3 linked regions of the Arabidopsis thaliana genome follow. The protein of the gene in region 1 interacts with the protein of each later gene in a pairwise test. Each region holds a gene or a part of one and is shown on either strand. Other genes may lie near its edges.

Evidence for each region.
Region 2: the proteins of PP2AA3 (region 1) and FYPP1 interact in a two-hybrid assay, tested with the Arabidopsis thaliana proteins (one study listed by BioGRID).
Region 3: the proteins of PP2AA3 (region 1) and FASS interact in a two-hybrid assay, tested with the Arabidopsis thaliana proteins (one study listed by BioGRID).

The regions. Positions count from the first base shown.
Region 1 is NC_003070.9:4,562,899-4,569,812, forward strand, and holds PP2AA3 (protein phosphatase 2A subunit A3), read right to left. Parts: upstream 4,952-6,914; 5' UTR 4,791-4,951; intron 4,479-4,790; 5' UTR 4,451-4,478; coding exon 4,058-4,450; intron 3,849-4,057; exon of another isoform or gene 3,686-3,848; coding exon 3,439-3,685; intron 3,207-3,438; coding exon 3,094-3,206; intron 2,982-3,093; coding exon 2,902-2,981; intron 2,714-2,901; coding exon 2,572-2,713; intron 2,478-2,571; coding exon 2,397-2,477; intron 2,070-2,396; coding exon 1,965-2,069; intron 1,792-1,964; coding exon 1,609-1,791; intron 1,518-1,608; coding exon 1,425-1,517; intron 1,335-1,424; coding exon 1,195-1,334; coding exon of another isoform or gene 1,191-1,194; intron 1,107-1,190; coding exon 1,040-1,106; intron 914-1,039; coding exon 794-913; 3' UTR 530-793; downstream 1-529. Other genes in the region: AT1G13310 (Endosomal targeting BRO1-like domain-containing protein), read right to left, coding at 1-31; AHP2 (Tat-binding protein 1(Tbp-1)-interacting protein (TBPIP)), read left to right, coding at 5,110-5,137, 5,245-5,270, 5,631-5,898, 5,985-6,055, 6,142-6,330, 6,414-6,512; AT1G13340 (Regulator of Vps4 activity in the MVB pathway protein), read right to left, coding at 6,724-6,914. UniProt on the Arabidopsis thaliana protein: The A subunit of protein phosphatase 2A serves as a scaffolding molecule to coordinate the assembly of the catalytic subunit and a variable regulatory B subunit. Involved during developmental process such as seedling and floral developments.
Region 2 is NC_003070.9:18,656,511-18,662,557, reverse strand, and holds FYPP1 (Calcineurin-like metallo-phosphoesterase superfamily protein), read right to left. Parts: upstream 4,051-6,047; 5' UTR 3,665-4,050; coding exon 3,584-3,664; intron 3,134-3,583; coding exon 2,987-3,133; intron 2,902-2,986; coding exon 2,834-2,901; intron 2,618-2,833; coding exon 2,560-2,617; intron 2,201-2,559; coding exon 2,090-2,200; intron 1,978-2,089; coding exon 1,927-1,977; intron 1,822-1,926; coding exon 1,678-1,821; intron 1,581-1,677; coding exon 1,485-1,580; intron 1,396-1,484; coding exon 1,324-1,395; intron 970-1,323; coding exon 886-969; 3' UTR 506-885; downstream 1-505. Other genes in the region: AT1G50380 (Prolyl oligopeptidase family protein), read right to left, coding at 1-276; VIIIA (P-loop containing nucleoside triphosphate hydrolases superfamily protein), read right to left, coding at 5,452-6,047. UniProt on the Arabidopsis thaliana protein: Catalytic subunit of protein phosphatase 6 (PP6). Dephosphorylates phosphorylated phytochromes, with a preference toward Pfr forms.
Region 3 is NC_003076.8:6,173,237-6,178,906, reverse strand, and holds FASS (tonneau 2 (TON2)), read right to left. Parts: upstream 3,936-5,670; 5' UTR 3,754-3,935; coding exon 3,612-3,753; intron 3,360-3,611; coding exon 3,268-3,359; intron 3,113-3,267; coding exon 3,050-3,112; intron 2,973-3,049; coding exon 2,874-2,972; intron 2,789-2,873; coding exon 2,630-2,788; intron 2,398-2,629; coding exon 2,326-2,397; intron 2,183-2,325; coding exon 2,050-2,182; intron 1,956-2,049; coding exon 1,891-1,955; intron 1,780-1,890; coding exon 1,704-1,779; intron 1,594-1,703; coding exon 1,492-1,593; intron 1,407-1,491; coding exon 1,214-1,406; intron 1,204-1,213; exon of another isoform or gene 940-1,203; coding exon 693-939; 3' UTR 506-692; downstream 1-505. Other genes in the region: AT5G18590 (Galactose oxidase/kelch repeat superfamily protein), read left to right, coding at 1-81, 167-226, 311-391; EMB269 (GTP1/OBG family protein), read left to right, coding at 4,084-5,189. UniProt on the Arabidopsis thaliana protein: Probable regulatory subunit of type 2A protein phosphatase involved in the control of the dynamic organization of the cortical cytoskeleton.

The DNA of each region.
Region 1 (6,914 bases):
GTTCTGGAATTAGGTACTGCATCATCGTCATCGTTCTTCTTCCAAACTCTTGGTTACGTAACTATTAAGCCAGAATCATAAACAACATAAATAAACTGAAGCCGAGAAACAAGAGAAGACTCTATAATATTTGTGTTGTCGTTTAAATAATTCAGATATTATTTGTAATTTCCTAATCCTATTGCGAGTCGAAAACTGTTGGAAGATCAAATAGAAATATTAAGGAAATTTCGTAGAGTTTTGAAATAGCGAGAGAGGTGTGTGCAAGAGTGGTGAAAAATAATCAACAAAATTTGTAAATAATCAAACAGAAAACGTCAATAACACATATATATTGAACTTTTCGAGGGAAGTTCCTAGGTCAATAATTCTCCGTAAGTGCCTTCTACGACAAGGTTTTGACTTTTGATAAAATAGTCTTCTAGTTAAAAAGACAACAACGACCTGAATCTGATATGTGGAGTATAAAAGCCCATGGGCTTGAAAACGACTCAATAAGTTGGTTGACCAATTAAAATATTCCAGTGGTGACCAATTGTACACTCATGCTTCGAGCAAAAACGTTGCCGAATCACTTGATAAGTAAATTATTTGGACTAAACAAAATTAAGCACCAAAAAGCAAATACGCCCAACGAACAAATCACAGAAAACATGAAGCCAACATTAACATTAGTAGCAGAGAGAAACAATGGTCACGTACGTGTAAAGTAAAAGACAACACACGACAAAGTATCGTTTACAAAATCTCATGAGAACCAAACACAATTCGTTGCTGTCTTCTTTACCTTTTTTTAGCTAGACATCATCACATTGTCAATAGATTGGAGAGCTTGATTTGCGAAATACCGAACATCAACATCTGGGTCTTCACTTAGCTCCACCAAGCATGGCCGTATCATGTTCTCCACAACCTTTCACAACCAACAAAAATGAAAACATTTGAATATATGGACGTTTAGATTCCCTGATGAGGAGGATAATGTGGAATCATAAGCTGTTTCTTTACTTGTGAGAGCCAACAAAGAATGTATACTAACCGCTTGGTCGACTATCGGAATGAGAGATTGCATCATTTTGGCCACGTTAAATTTGATGTTTGGAACTCTGAAAGAGGAGGAGAGAGTGGTTCTTTTAGTTAGCTATTGGGAAAAAAATTGAGTCAATGAGATTTCATGTTAAGAGAGAGACTTGCCTGTCTTTAGATGCAGTTATTACCGCAGGTAAGAGTTTGGAACATGTGATCTCGGATCCCATTACTGGAGCGAGAAGCGATACTGCACGAAGAATCGTCATCCGATATAGATAGTGTGGGTTGTTAATCATCTCTAGAACCTGAACAAGTAAATATACTCCAATAACCAATAGCTAAAATGCTCGATTTGAATTGAAAACATACTATATGCTTAAGATTTCTACACAAACCTGAGGAACTATATGCTGCATTGCCCATTCAGGACCAAACTCTTCAGCAAGACGCTTCAGATTGTTTGCAGCAGCTTCACGGATTGAGTGAACCTGACAATTTATAATTATTTCAAAATTTCAAGCAGTAGAGACGACAAATTTATTTATCTGGATGATTCAATGAAGGTAGAGAATGAGGGACCTTGTCTTGTAACCATTGCATGCAAAGAGCACCAAGCTTCTCATCAAAGAAGCCTACACCTAATTGACTGGCCAACAAGGGAATATACTCGATTATAGCCAGACGTACTCTCCAGTGCCTGTCTTCAGCAAGTTCTACAATGGCTGGCAGTAACGATTGTGATAGTAGATCAATCCCAATAACCTGGCAATTTTAAGGAAAAAAAATCGAATCATTATGAAAAATGGATGGACAAAGAATTTGCTGTCAAGTAGTCATTGACTTGACCAAAACATGATACAGCTCCTTTGAACATGTGGGAAAAAATAGAAACCCAATGTCGTACAAAGAGATGAGTAACTTGGTCAATAGCAAACCTGGTTCACTTGGTCAAGTTTGCTGATAATGTTTAAGCGTACATCAGGAAATTCGTCTTTCAATAGAGAAAGAAAGATTGGAAGAAGATGCTCAATTGTTGCATCCTGAAATGAATATCAATGCCAAGTTAAAAGCTGCAAAATCCAACTAAATATCTTGTGTAGAAAAACATAGTGAGGTTTTCTTATATAGATTATTGTTGCGAGAACCTTCCAGGCACAGTTAAAAAAATTCCTAAAGATGACAGTGACTAGGACGAAGAAGATATATAGATGGTTTCAAATAAAAGAAAAAATCTTTATCTCTAAGATGCTAAATACATAGAATATTATGAGCTTACACTCCAAACTATAGAGCCAAATGAATTTTTGTATAGATGACAGTATTCATGATATGAGAGGCAAATTGTATCGGTTTTTAATTCTGCTTACCTTACCCAAGACTGGAGCCATTCCCATTATAACTGATGCCAATGCAGATCTGACGTGCTGAGAAGAGTCTGATGATAATTCCTACGTGTAGATTTATAGGTAAGCTTAGCAAACACCGACAGTATTTTGGTCCTTTGCATAATATGAAATCAACACACTCTTCTTAAGTGTGTACCTTTACACAGGGAAGAATGTGCTGGATAGCGAGTTCAGGGTTTAAAATGCGACAAAACTTGGTAACTTTTCCAGCAGCTGCTATCCGAACTTCTGCCTCATTATCACAAAGTAGACGAGCATATGCAGGCACCAGATCCGTCCTTAATACATAAGGCACATGAGAAAGTATAAAAAACGACTCAAAGAAATTTATTAAGATGACTCAACAAACATGGACTTCCAAGTACCAAATACCTCTGAAGTCAGTAATCTATTGTTTGATATAGAATTGCATACTAAAGGTCAATACTACATTAAACCATAACTAACTTCAACCATCACTGCTTACCTAGTTGGCTCCGGTCCTACAGCTTCACAAAGTTCATAGAGCTGATTTGCAACCATATAACGCACACGCCAGGACTTATCCTGCTCAAAGACGAAAAAAATCAAGATAAAGCAGCTCATACATATCTGCCTTACAGCTTTCCCATAAAGCTCATCAATAGAATTTTTTTATCATATTCACACATTTATTTACCTGCGAGAAATTGACAATCACAGGAAGAATGTGTGCAACACAGTCCTGGGGCTCCAACAATTTCCCAAGAGCAGCACAACCCTCAACAGCCAATAATCTAACCGAATCTTGATCTGATATCAATGTCAATAAGATACTTAAAATCTGTAATATTATAATATAAAAAGACACTGAAGCTGAGATGTAGACAACCGTAATTCTGCTTAACTTCAGCTAATGGTCAGTGTTCAATGCAGTAACCCTAATACTTGCCTATTACACATCAGCCACCCCCATAACTAGGCTTGATGAAAATTGTAAGAGTATATGCTGGAAAAACGAAACATATAATAAGGGAGAGCATACCATCTTGCGTAAGATCCTCAAACATGGACATAATGTCTGTCTTCAAATGAGCTGATTCAATTGTAGCAGCAAACTTCCCCAAATTAGTTGCTGCAGCTCTGCGCACCATTGGCATGTCATCTTGACAAAGCTGACCATATATTGATCTTAGCTCCGTCTTTAGCACATCTGGGGCACTTGGGTATGCAATATGGAAAATCCCACATGCTGATACTCTGGCTGTGAACCATTCACCAGCTGAAAGTCGCTGTTACACAATGACAGTGTTCAGTAATGCTTAAGTCGGTTTCACATTACGAGCACCTATACCGAGGTATGTATGGTCACATACACAACCACAACCCAAAAGAGCGCTAAAGCCAGAGCGATGTTCTCTTAGATCAACCAAAATGGATGTAAACAACTTCAACCTACCAATTTCCCAAAACACCTATAAGGGGAACACTGAACAAGAAAAGCATATTTCCAAACTTTGGGGGACAATTGACAAAGGACCCCAAAAAATCTATGTTCTTCTGTTTTAGTGGCTTAATAATATTAAGTTTGACAGAGCATGGAAAGGAATCAATAAAATCGACCAAAGAGATTTGATAAAATAAGTAAACCAGCCTTATCTAACCTTAGCCAGAGGAGTGAAATGCTCAACCAAGTCACTCTCCCTCATCTGAGCACCAATTCTACAAAGTGAATCCACAGCTTTCTCCCTCACGCAAGTTTCCTCAACAGTGGATAGAGTCTCCAAAGGTGGAAGCAGAACATATGCATACTCAACCCCTCCTACATACAGAATAAAACCCCCCAACTCTTCCGCCATAGCCAAAAGCACCTCATCGTCATCGTCATTGTTCTCACTAAGAAATGGAATCAACTCTTTTCTTGTCCTCTCCTCTCCAAGAGCACGAGCAATGATAGAAAGCCGTTTAATAGAGTTCAATCTACGCTGAATATCATCGTTTTTTAGCTCGTCGATAAGCACAGCAATCGGGTATAAAGGCTCATCAACCATAGACATCCTCACCAAAACTCAAATCACTCCCTACCTTCAATCAAACACAAATGTACACAAAGTCAGAATAAAACACAATGCATACATAGACACCATCAATACAAAAGACGATAAAGTTACAAACTTTAAACTCAATTCCGCCTCTGAGATAATTCAAAGGTGACCCATTAGCCTCTAAAAAATGATTAGAATGGAGAACTGAAACTTTGTGCCGTCCCAATCTAGAGAGAAACTATTACCATTCTTAGACTAATAAAGAGAGAAGATCTAAACAATAATTCGATTTGAGATTCTCAATATACAATTGGAAAATGTTTCGAAATTGAAGAAATGATCGAGAATTTACCGATTACGCTGCTTTCCAAGTTCCGAGCGATCTATCAATCAGAAGAACGAGAAATGAGACCGGAGCTCGTCTTTCGCAGCAGCTAAACCATCTTCAAGCTGTGTCCATATAATTGGGCCTGTCAAAGATAAGAACTAAATGGGCTTATGTATAATACATAAAGGCCCATATATCCAACAAATACGACTTCGTTTAATATCTCTCTCGTATAAAGGAAGCTTCTCAGTAACTCTCTTCTTCTTCCTCAGAAAATATCGGAAAAGGAAAAAAGTTGCTCTCGCTTCAGGTTTTTTATTTCCCGCCAATTATTTCGACAAAAATGGCTCCTAAATCGGATAACACCGAAGGTATAATGATATAATCTCTGAAAAAAATCTGCTAGTTCTCTTTGATCTTATTCCTCATTTTGATTTCTCTCTTATTTACTTGTTTCCTGAATTTTTTATTTCTGCAGCTATCGTACTCAACTTTGTCAATGAGGTAAGCACTTCTCTGCGATTCTACATTTTTGCTTTAATTCTAAACGGAGATCACAAACAGATACGACCATAAAAATTAGAATTCGAATTTGAAATTGAGTCTAGGTTAAGGTACGCAGTGATGTTCACATGATTCTGAATCTGGGAATTTAATCACTTGGGTTTCAATTTGTGCTATAAGTTTACACATGAATTTTTCGTTTGAAGCTATTGATATTGACTAGGTTTTAAAAATTGATTGATACAGGTTATATATATATATATATATATATATATATATATATTGCAAGTTTTGTTTCAATCTGTTGTATTATTGTTGTTAGATTTTGATGAATGTGTTGTTGGTACTTTTTTGATGCAGCAAAACAAACCTCTAAACACTCAAAATGCAGCTGATGCTCTACAAAAGTTTAACCTTAAGAAGACTGCGGTGCAAAAGGCACTTGATAGTCTTGCTGATGCTGGAAAAATCACGTTTAAAGAGTATGGTAAGCAGAAGATATACATTGCTAGACAAGACCAGTTTGAGATTCCAAACTCTGAAGAACTTGCTCAAATGAAAGAAGACAATGCCAAACTTCAAGAACAGCTTCAAGAGAAGAAGAAAACTATCAGTGATGTGGAATCAGGTGTGAAAAAACTACTTTTTCTCAGTGGTTTTGAGGATGTGATATAGCTGCTTGGATAATGTTATGTTCTGTGATGTTATTTGCAGAAATCAAGAGTTTGCAGTCAAACTTGACACTAGAAGAGATACAAGAGAAAGATGCCAAACTAAGGAAAGAGGTATATGTTTTTCTTACCTTTTGGTTTTTGTCTTTCTTTGAGTAAGGTTGTTGATAGCTTATAAAGTGATTTCAACTGTGTACCAGGTTAAGGAAATGGAAGAGAAACTGGTCAAACTACGTGAAGGGATTACATTGGTGAGGCCAGAAGACAAAAAGGCTGTTGAAGATATGTATGCGGATAAGATTAATCAGTGGCGCAAGCGTAAGAGGATGTTCAGAGACATTTGGGATACTGTAACAGAGAATTCTCCCAAAGATGTGAAGGAACTAAAGGTGCAAACTCATATTTCTTCAGGAGTTTTTTCTTACAGACTACATCAGCTTCGCCATAATTTTTGACTACTGTTACTTTGCAGGAGGAGCTTGGAATTGAATACGATGAAGATGTCGGTCTAAGTTTCCAGGCATATGCTGACCTAATTCAACATGGTAAAAAGAGGCCTCGAGGACAGTAATTTTCAGGTAAGTTCTTCGAATTTGATTCAAAGTTTTCTAGAAACGTTTCTTGTATAAACACACACATATGCAACTGTACAACATCATTGAAAGCTTATATCCATAAAGAACACAATAATCTTACATCTTTGACCACAAAAAGAACATAGAAAAGTACAAAACTGAGTGATTACACCGTAGATGCACCTGAAAAACTTATAACATTTGTACTTAGTATCCACGAACCTGTCTTGTCCTGACTGAAACTGGACCCTTCAAACCTGCTTTACGCATAATAGGATCTTCAATTGAACGAACCATGTGGTCCACATGTCTTGTATCCGCTCTATTCGAACCAACCATACGATTTTGCTCATCTTTAGACTTACTAATAGTAATAGTCTCAACACTAGGTTGGGTTT
Region 2 (6,047 bases), about 14 Mb from region 1:
GTCAACCCTAACGTCACCGAACATCTCCATCACATGCTCCACCTTCTTCGCTACAGGAGGGGATCTCGATTCCGCCATGTCTCTCGGTGATGTCAACCGCACTGACGCAGCTCCGGTTTCAGAGGAAGAGGAAAAAGAAGAAGACAGCCGTAGAATAGAGCGGCGGCGAGGAACAAGAGGAACGAGGCAAGAGAGAGGAGTATCGAAGTGGAGAAGACGACTACGAGTCGCGAGAAAGTGAGTGCCGAGAGATACGAGTCCACGCCTTATTATCATATTACGTGTCCGTTTTAGTTGCCTAGAGACTCGCGACCAGTTTGTTAATAGAGGACAGGTCATATCCGGTTTGGATAAACCGGCCTATCTATGATTCCGGTTACAAAATTATTAACTCTTTCGTGAATTTTTGCTAGGATTATTGAACAAAACCAAATAATTAGATTAGAAACAAATTACTGTTGAATGTTGATTAATGGTCTTCTATGTTCTTGTAGTGGACTATTTTTGAGCTTGATGAATTTTATAAGCCTGAGATTAACCCAGAACCTAATCAAACCGTGCTAAACTGCAAATAAGCTGAGATGATAAAAATTGGTCTTGCTTACAGAACAAAGATGAAACAAAACAAGAAAGAAAGCACGTATAATAATAACATCCAGAAGAGGTTCAGGTTAAAGTGCATCAAAACCACTAAAATTACCAAAGTGACATTCACTTTCACAAGAAAATGTTTCCAAAATGGAAAAAGGAAAAAAAAAACAATGGAAGTGTAAACAACATCAGAAGATATACCTTGAAAGAACATAAGCCAATGGCAATCATGATAATGGCTAACTTGATAAGAGCAATACGAGACTAATAATGATGTAGGATCATCATCATGAATCACAGGAAATAAGGAACACCTGTCCTTGGCCCTCTCATTTGATTGTTCTCTTCTGTCTCCGTGAAGAACTTCACTTCCCTTTCCTGGTAATTAAGCATATTTTAACAAATCATTACTGTCAGTGAGGACCAGATCCTAAACACTTCCCAGAAACAGGTCTATATATGAAAAGTAACACACAGAGCACAATCAATATGGACAGACTGATTCCACGCGAACTGTGAATTGTTACTAAATAAATGGCTTAAACATCATAACTCTATCTCACAAGAGTCACTCATGTGTATATGTTTGGGTCGAGAGACAAGTATCAAAGGCAGTAACTTATTTAATCAAAAAGGAAAAGTAGAATCCGAAGACGAGTGCATAAAAGTAAGAAGAACATGAAACAAGATATTGTGGCAGATCAGTAACAAAAGAGAAAACAAATGCCTCACCATGTTGTCATTGAAACTCAATATAGAAGCCACATTCCCACAACGGTAGCAGTAATTAGGCGCAGACCACACCTTTACAAAAAAAATAAAGAGAAGAAACATCACCAAGCAGATTATACTTCCAACTATCCAAAATGATCATAAGGAAGCAAGGCACTTACAGTTACAAGACCTTTATCTTGGAACATGTACTTGAGACCTTCTTGTACAAGCTGGTGAGCGCGACATACTAGATCAAGATTGTTAATATGGTTAAACTGCACAAGAAGCAAAACCACAGATCAGGGAACTGAAATACATTTATTTCTTTTCACACCTTATTCAAATTTCAACCCCAGAAAAAAATATAAATACCTCAGTGGTAACCCTGGACCCGAAAAGCCAACCAGCTCCACGTGGACTGACAGCCCATGTTTCAATATCTTCAGGATCACTCCACATAAGATCACAGAAGGGTCCTTCATGCGGTATTTCGCAATTCCGCTCAATCAATCTTATCTAGAGAACAAAATAACATCTAAATGAGTAAATGAGATTTAATCTAATCATAAATAACACTTGCATGGTGAAAACCAAAAGTAATTTAAAATAGCACATTTTAACCTGGTCAATTGTCCGTACATCAGGTGAAAGGCCACCATGAACACATAGAACCTACATTGAGGATGCAATACGTTTTAATATGGTATACAGCTAACTTATGCATTCATAAAATTATACAAGAACACATCATAACACAATGCCAAAGAAGCTGAGAAATACTTACAGTGCCATCTATAATAGCTGAAAGTGTAAGATAGTCAAAAACATCCGTGCAATATCTCCAAGCATTAGCATTACCATACTTCCTTTGGCATTCGTCATAGAAACCATACACCTAGCAAATATAAAATTGGTACGACAATTTAAGAAAACTATAAAAATGAACCTGCAGGGCACAAAATATCACTACAATCTTCGTCCTTGACAGTGGATGTTAAAAGATATAGGATATGGTGTAGGATAGAGATAAATCAAGAGCTTCCGAGAAGAAAACTTATGGTTGCAAAGGGTTCACATAAAATGCATCTTAGTTAACATCTATGCCTATATCTAGCATGGCATTGCCACATGTACAAAATAAACTTTCAAAACTAGTTATAACAATTGAGCGAAAATTACTTCTCAACCAGTAACTGCGTGAAGAGCACAGCAAGTCAGCAACAATAGATATAAATGGATTAGAATAATGCATACCTGAGTTAGCTGTCTACTTTCATGATTTCCACGCAAAAGAGTGATATTGGCTGGATGTCTACATATTGAAATACAAGGAAACGAGTGATTTTAAGCTCACAGCAAAGTAAGTTAGAATATAAATTTCCTGGAATACAAGTTAAATCGATTTTCCAGTAGAGCAATGCGTTTACAGCTTAAAGAGCATTCTCAAGAGAACTATGATATACAGTGTGAAACGGAAGGATGACGATCCATGACATATATAACGCACAATTTCTACGGAAAATCTTACCTTGCTTTAAGAAGCAAAAGAATGGTGAAAACTTCAAGACTGTTGTAACCTCTATCAACGAAATCCCCCTGAGAAAATCCCCCACAGATAATTAAACTATGTGTTACATATTGATATGTCATACGAGCCTACGCCCAAAGTCAGAGTCTATACCATAAATATGTAATTGGTCTCGGGAACATGACCTCCGGTCTGGAAAAGTTTCATAAGATCATGAAACTGGCCATGGATATCACCACAGACGGTGACAGGACTGTTGACAGGTTGTACATTTGATTCCTCAATAAGAATTTCTTTCACCTATATAATAGTCAAAATATCTTGTGAATTACCAGAGTATCTTAGCAAATCATTGTCATGAAAAAAGAAGAAGACGGCTGCTACTACAAGTTTCAACACTAAAATTACTATAATAAATCCTCAAATAACAGTTTGCAAGCGTGGACTTGGTGCATCCATAAATTGGCTAAAGAAGAGCTAAACTTATCCCTAATTCCTTAGAATTTAGAATTGAAATAGCAAAGTCAATAAATCCTCTATTGGAAAAATGAGAGAAAAACCCTAAAATCCGTAGACCAAAATGGCAAAGGAAACAGTAAGGGAGAGAGACCAGATTCAAAGTAAAGTGCCACAAAGCAAGCTCTAAAGTCTCAAAAGAGTAAGCGAAGAATTGGGTTTTTGTAGATGCATGAATATTCGGGGAAGAGAAAGCAAGCAAGAGAAGAAAGAAGAAAGAAGAAGAAGGCGTACGTATTCGCAGAGAAGTTGAAGCTCGTCCTCAGAGAGATGTTGGCCGTCTTTAACCTTGGAAATCCATTGATCTAAATCCATGGCGGCCTTTTATTATCCTCTCTGTCTCTCTCTTTCGGTGGTGAAGTGGAAATTGGTGCTGTTTCTTCGATTTCAATGGTGAGTCTCGACGATCTCTGGTGAAGAATTGAAAGAAAGATAGATCTAGCAGAGCATTGCTCCGTCCGCTTAGGGTTACGTAAGGGGGAAAGAGGGAGAGAGAGAGAAAGGGGAAACACAACGAACCAAACAATCTCGACCCGAACCCGATTTGGTCTTCCTCCATCCCCAAACTCTATTCGTTGGATATTTATTTTTAATCATTTTTTTGGCAACATATTAAACATCAATTTAATTTTTATCTATTACTTCATTACACAAATCTTTAATGGAGTATACTACACATTTTCAATGTTTTTGCAATTCTTTTCTTGGTAATTTTATTTGTCTACTTGAATGTGACAATTGATAACACCTAAATAAAATTCCACAAATACTTAAACCTTCTTTATAGTATTTTTTCTTCTTTTTAATTTTTTTAAAAAAACACATTTCGATATATGTGTTGTTGAATTTGAGTAAGACCTTTTTGATAATTAAAAACTCCTAAAAAAAATTATTTAAAAGTCTTGTTAAACAAATTGTGTCTAAAGACACATTTCGAAATCTATGTGATGTTGAACTTTTGAGGAAGGTTGTTTGTGGGAGACCGTACGGGATATGTTAGAAATGAATCAATGATCTTGGATAGGCATTAGCAATACGATCGTTCAAGAGCGAACCTCACTCGATTCATTTCAATGTTTATGTTTGGGTCTTCCCATTTGGCTTCTGGTTAGGGATAATTTGAGAAGGAAAAGTATTGTTATGATGACCTCTAAAAATGACAAAATGGAATTTGTCTCACCAAAAAATCTCCAATGTTCAAATTACATCCGAAAAAATCACTAGTCGGAGGGCCAAATATTACGGAAAGTATATATTGGTGTTGGTTTGGTTTATACTTGGTCGAGAGGTGATCCGAAACTTAGTTCCACTTAAAAAAGTGATGCATCGCAAAGGTAATTCGAAATTTAAATTGTGAAGAGTTTACTCAGCTGCAAGAATAGAAATGATTTTTCTCAGACATGTTCATTTCGGGTTTGGGCTGGATTGAGTTTTTTTTTAACCCACGACAACATTCCAAGAAAGATCACTTGTTGAAGAGGGATTCCACCAACTGACCATCTGATACAAGTGCATGATTTATCATATGTAATTTTATCCATCAAATTATCTAAATTTTTGTAGAGTCTAAGTCGAGATATCACTGAAATCGGCCAAAAAAACTAGTAGTTAAATAGTTTTTAAAATACACATTGTCCAAACACGATAAAGATTTTTTAAACTCAAAACAATCTTGTATAAAATCTATACAATTTTTTTTTCCCTTTCTAACTCCATATGTTTACAAACAAACAAACTTGTAAGGAAATTTATATTATTATCATAGTTTACCACCTTGTAGTTATTTCTCGCTATGTCCATTTTAATTAGCTTGATAAAAAACTTAACTATTTAAGAAATATAAATATTGATTTGTTTTTGCAACGACTATTTATATTCAAATACAGCAATGGTTCACTGGACTTTGGAATCCTTGACAAATAGATATACTGTATAATATAAAAATTATTTACTGAATTTGCCAATAGATTTGGGTGGCAAATGAAAAACATGACTCTTTCAGTCCCAAGGAGCCTTCTCACTTCTAGCAGCAAAGCCAAAAACCGTAGTTACATCAAACGTGTAGAAAAGGAGACGTGCGTCTCAAGAAAAGGAAGTAACCATTAATACCTAGTACTCCTCAACCTCCCCCACCAATTCATCTTCACCTTCTCCGCTGAACCACCTGTTTCTTCACTCCCAAGTTTGCTAAGTATCAGTTTCGTTTCCCTTAGTCTCCCTCCATAATCTTTCTTCCATGTCTCAAACATCTGTTTCAGCCTTCGTAGCTCCCGGTCCGGATTCAAGTTTGCTTCCACCTGACCAGATTTCACTTCCATCAAGAACTTTCTGTCGTCACCAAATACCTGAGCTCTTTGTCCAAATTCCTCAGCTAACCGGCTTATCACGCTTAAACCCACGCCTACACTTCTTGACCTGCCATGGCCCATTTGGTAATGACTACCTCCTGAATCTAAATCTGTTGCATCGCTTGCATTCACCGATGCATCCGAGTTTCTCGCTGAGTCCTCAACCTCTAGGCTTTTCTTTGCGATGGAAAGACTGGATTGCAAAGATTTCATCTGCTTTTGCCAAATTTCTTCCATGGATTTCATCTTTGTTTCATATTCAGACCACCGGTTATCGTACTGCTGGACTCTTTGTCGGAGGATGTCGTTCTCCTCTTCTTTCTCACGAAGAGCAGCTTCGGTTCTAAGAA
Region 3 (5,670 bases), on another chromosome or scaffold:
TCAAACATGGTTCACTCCGACAATGTCAGGCTTGAGCATGATGTAGCGTTCCTCAAAGCTGTCCTAGACGATACACAAAAGGTAAAATAATCCTAGTAGATATACAAGCGTTTTCAAAAGACTGAGGATTAAAGTTTAATACCGTTTTGTGTTATGGGTTTTGTAGGAGTTGCATTCAACAAGAGGAGTTCTTGCAGGAGAAAGAGCAAGAGCGTTCCAGTTGCAGGTGTCATCATAATCATCAATAGACTCTATTCAAATTTGCATTTTCAAAATGTAGTATTGTTCTAAAAACTTGAGATGAACGCAGGTTGAAGTGTTTCATCTGAAGCAAAGATTACAATCTCTAGAGAACAGAGCTGCTACACCCAGAAAGCCTTTCCATGTCTAAACACAGACCAGAGACAACACGATAACTTTTATGACTTCCATTTTGTAGTACTCGAGACATGACTGAATTCATGTGTGTTGTGGAGTAATGTATAATAGAAGTGAATTCAGAAATGTCAAAAATCAAATCAGATCCCAAGTAGAATAAGACAAGTGACGATATAAACAGCCATTTCATTAAACGTCACCAACTAATAAGCTTACAAAGATACACACACATGAGATGAGACTGTTTACTAGTGCGAGACTTTTGATCTCAATGATTTAGCATTTTTTTTAGGTAGACATAGAAAATAACATTATCACTGAGACTCTTCCTCAGGTGGTTCTTCTTCTTCTTGAAGAAGGTTCTCACGGTTGTCATGAGCCCAGAAGCCACGCACATCTATAAGCATGCTCGCAACGGTTCCACCTTGTTTACATCCCAAGAGATCACCCAGAGTGATCTTTAATGGGTCAGACGGTTTCACCATGTCCCAGATCTCGTCTCGAACATCTTCTATGCACAGTTCATAGTTCCCACCTTCTATCCATTTCTGGTGAACATCTCTGCAAGTTAAACAGATGAATTCAGAAGAGAGACAATGGCATTATCACACATCAATGGTGTGTTTGATATGCACTAGTGTCTTTGCAGATATGAGACTCGCGGAACAAAGCTCAGCTTCCGCAAGCAGGAAATGCAGAGTGTTTATTTAGGAAGATTGTATCAGATAACATCACAACTCTTTGATGCTCCCCTTCTTTACTTCCATGTTTCAAACAAAATTTACTAAAAAGTAAGAAACCAAACAGATTCAGTCGCTTCATAGAGATTCATTACCTGAAAAGAGAGTGAATATCAGCAGTAGTGAGAAAGCCTCTCCCTTGGAGATCAAGGCAACGGAATAAATACGTCAAACCCTCTGGAGTATCTTTGTTCTCCAAAGCAAGAACAAAATCGAGGAAACTGTCAAAGTCCATTTCCCGGGAATTGCCTGCCACGATTTTACCACGGCGGACATGCTCATCGAACACTAAAAAAACAAAGGGGAATTAGTATACTAAGCGTGTCTCGATCAGTACCACGAGCCTACAATCACCAAAAGGGCTTAAATTTACCTCTTTCAATGAAAATCTCAGTTAGGGTCCCATCAGCATATTCTTTAAGTTCTTGTTTGCACAGCGATCCACTCATATCTTTATCAAGTGCGAGGAACATATCTACAGAAGAAAGAGAAACTCTAGATCAATCTCCATTTTAGTTCTTAATATGACATAACGAGAGTTGTTTCCAGTTCTCTGCAGCTATTAAGACAAAATAGCACACCCACCACATATGCGTTGGGCTGAAGTCAAAGAGAACCAATTTTCTGCCTGTTCAGTGTCTGTGACTTCCTCCTCGCTTTCCTAACGTTGAGTAACCAAGGAACAATCAGAAAACACAAGCAAGTAGCTTATGAAAGTGGAAAGTTATACGGTGACGAAGCTGTATGTCATACATCCTTCAACTAAACTTACCTGATGCAATTCCATTAGTTCCTGCAGACAGTTACTGAGCAGTATCTTTTTAATGCAGGCTCTTCCTGTACGCAAAAAATATCACATTTACGAGCGATTGAATACTGGGTCAAAGAAATTTCTAATTGCCTAATAATAATAATATTTTCTTTCACTTACCTCGCCTATGGGGATCACAGAAGAAGAAAAACTTTTGTGAAGCTATGCGGCAATACATTTGATTAAAGGCCGGAGGCATGTCTCTCAGTTGTGCCAGATTAGGGATTAGACCACCAATATAGGACTCCATTTCCTATAATAACAACAGCAAGTAGACTAACTGTAAGGAACTTGACATAAAAGTCAACACCATTTGACATTTGCAGGTAGGACGACTACCTAAAGAATCTTGAGCCAATTCTAAAGTTAAAGCTTTAGAGCCACTTGAGTACTTACATCAGAATGAAGGAAACCATCAGAGTCTTCGTCAAGCTCACTCATATCAATCCTAGCTTGTGTAAGCGACACCTGAATAGTGTTGAACATATGATTAATCAAAACAAGTATTAACTATAGTTGTTTAAGTAAAAGACACGCCAAATTAAAAAAACTTGAAAAACAAACATCCAAAACTAGCAAAGCTGGTGTCACTCAAACACAGTACCAAAGAATATTTAGCTTATGGCGACAGATGATATTCAGCCAATGAACAAAAATGATACCCAAAGACATGACATTATAAAAACATAAGGATACTCACCGTGCGCATCACATAAAGATAAAACGGTAAAATGGCAATCCTCCCAGCCTCATCCTTCTCAAATTTCATGAAATTGGATGGGCTAAAAAACCGGCGACATTTGGGACCGATTTGTTCAGTGCATACAGAGGCAATGTGACAGAAGTCTTCATAGTTCATCTACATGAAAAAGACAGCGCAATATCAGCATCATTGTTAACATAGTTTCAGCTCCAGAGAAAAATCCTATAAAAGATGCACGTACCTTTTCAGCACCAGTGGCATCATCAATCACACAATTTTCTCTCAAACAAACCCACATAGCAGCCAAATCATCAGCGTTTAACAAAAGATCCGATTGTTTCTGTGGGAATTAATCAACATATCGAAGTGAGCAAAAACATTAAACTTCTTCTGAATAATTAAGAGCAGGCGAAATACCTTCAAGAAACGGTACTTTGCAAGCTTCTGGACCCTTTGACTAATAGATCCTTCTTCTGGTTTCTGAACCAAGAGTAAAGGAACAAAATTTTATTGCCTAACACGAATACTTAAAAGGAAAAACAACTTCTATGAAGTGTATAACACAATGCAATATTTTAACCGAGTAGTGCCTTGAAATGCAAAGGCAATCATTTTATACAGAGTAAGGGACATGCCTTCTTGTAGAAACTCGGTATTGTGCCTGCTTCTTGGCTTTTCTGTTGCTTCTCTTTAAAAATCTCGAGCAAGATTCTCTTCGTCTCAAGCTCTACAAAACAATGAACACAAACCCTTATCAAACTAAGCAAAACCAAAGACTCTATCACAGTTAAACATAGTCTTTCAATACATAGACATGTAAATTCAGGAACTTTACTCATATTGAAAACACAACGAGCTCTAAAATGTGATCAAAGATTCAAACTTTACAGAATTTATGACATCATCACAAGCTAAAAGATAAAAAAACTACAGACTGTCCCAACAACCAAAACGCAACAACCGGCAAAAGGAACATTACCCATTAGAGCTTCGGATCCTAATCCGGCACCGGAACCAATATATCGTCGTAGATTTCTAACCCAAAGCATCGAAGACGCCGGTGGGATCTTCCTCTGCGTCGATGTATCATGACTCTCACCATCGCTAGATCCGCTATACATTCTCGGAGATCGTCACAACCCTCGACGATAAATGTTAGTCACCAAATGAAGCAGAGAGATTAAAACCCTTAAATAGAATGGTGAGACTGAACCAGGAACTGCAGAAACCCTAAAGCGCCCCCTTTCTCTCTCTCTCCCTCTCTGGAGCTCAATCTGCGAGATCCAAGCTTCAAACTTCAAAGGTAATAAAAGTTTCTCCTTGTTTGCTATATAAGTCCTCAATTTTATACTACTTTTGATTGTAACCCCCTTTACTTTGAAAAATCAATATTTAGTACAAAATGTTGTTTATATCACATAAAGTCCCGTTAAGATTTATCAGAGAAACAAATGGCTTCCATATCCATTAACTGTTTCTTCACTCCTCAAGCTCTAGCCCGACCCAGTAGGACGAGGAAGATTTTCGCTAAACCTGACAAAGTCTCGGGAAGAACCCGAAGCCCTAGAAAAACGAAGCTTCAACGCGAAGTCGAGCTTAAATCTCGAGGCGGTGATAAACTCCAGCCAGTTTCTGATGCCGGCGGCGAAGCCACTACTTATACACGTCTTCCTCCTAGGGAAGATTACTATGATGTCTCTCTTTTGTCTTCATCTTATTTAAAAGTTTCTGAAGAAGTGAAGCTATCTGAGTCCAATGTCGCGAGGGTTGAGGAAAAGATTGAAACTTTGAGGGAAATTGAGGAAGAAGAGAAAGAAAAGGAGGTGAAGAGTTATGATGATGATGATATTTGGGGAAATTACAGAAGATTAGATGTGTTTGAAGGGAGTTCAAGATCAATTGATGAAGATGATGAAGATTGGGAAGACGAAGTGTTTGAGTATGGTGATGAAACTGATGCGGAGAAAGATGATAGTGAAGGGTCTGAATTGAAGGATGGAGAAGTGTTATGTTTCTCCGGTGAAGAGGAAGAGGATGAAATTGGGGTGAAGGAGAAAGGAGTTCCGGCTGTGATGAGGTGTTTCGATAGAGCGAAGATATATGTTAGAGCCGGAGATGGAGGGAATGGTGTGGTGGCGTTTAGGAGAGAAAAGTTTGTTCCTTTTGGAGGACCTTCAGGTGGAGATGGAGGGAGAGGAGGGAATGTGTATGTAGAGGTTGATGGGTCTATGAATTCGTTGTTGCCATTTCGCAAGAGTGTGCATTTCAGGGCGGGACGTGGGGAACATGGGAGAGGGAAGATGCAGAGTGGAGCTAAAGGTGATAATGTCGTGGTGAAAGTGGCTCCTGGGACGGTGGTTAGACAGGCTAGAGAGGTTGGGAGTGAGGTGGAGGGTGAGGAAGGGGAGGAGAAGGAGGTGCTTTTGGAGTTGTTGCATCCGGGACAGAGGGCGTTGTTGTTGCCTGGAGGGAGAGGTGGACGAGGGAATGCTTCGTTTAAGTCGGGGATGAATAAAGTTCCTAGGATTGCTGAGAATGGCGAAGAAGGTCCTGAAATGTAAGTGTGTATTTTTCTTCATTTTTGAGCTGGTTTTAGTTTAGTGTGTTGATGATGGTTACAAGCTTTGATAGGATAAACTAATCACAGAAGCTAGATTGTTCAAAGATGTAAAAATTTCATTTTGGTTTAGGAACAGTTGATTTGTATTTCTTTTGTTTGGTAAAGCTTGATGTTTACATGTGAGCCCTGCTTCCTTCATTCGATCATCTGGGTTAGGTTTAGTATCTCGGTTAATCTCCAGAGGAAATCTCATCTTGTAAGTAATGCTCACTATACAAGAATTTATATATAGATACAGGTACAGGACTTTTGAAAGTCTTCCATTGCTGACTCTGCTAGTAGAAAAGCTCATGTTGATAGAGGTATGTTAGAGTATTATGAACGGATATGAGTTTCTGGGTTATCTATAGACTGGATTGGGTACTCTTAGAGTCCAACACTATCATGCTGTTGGAGAATTATGAGACTGTGTTTGCCT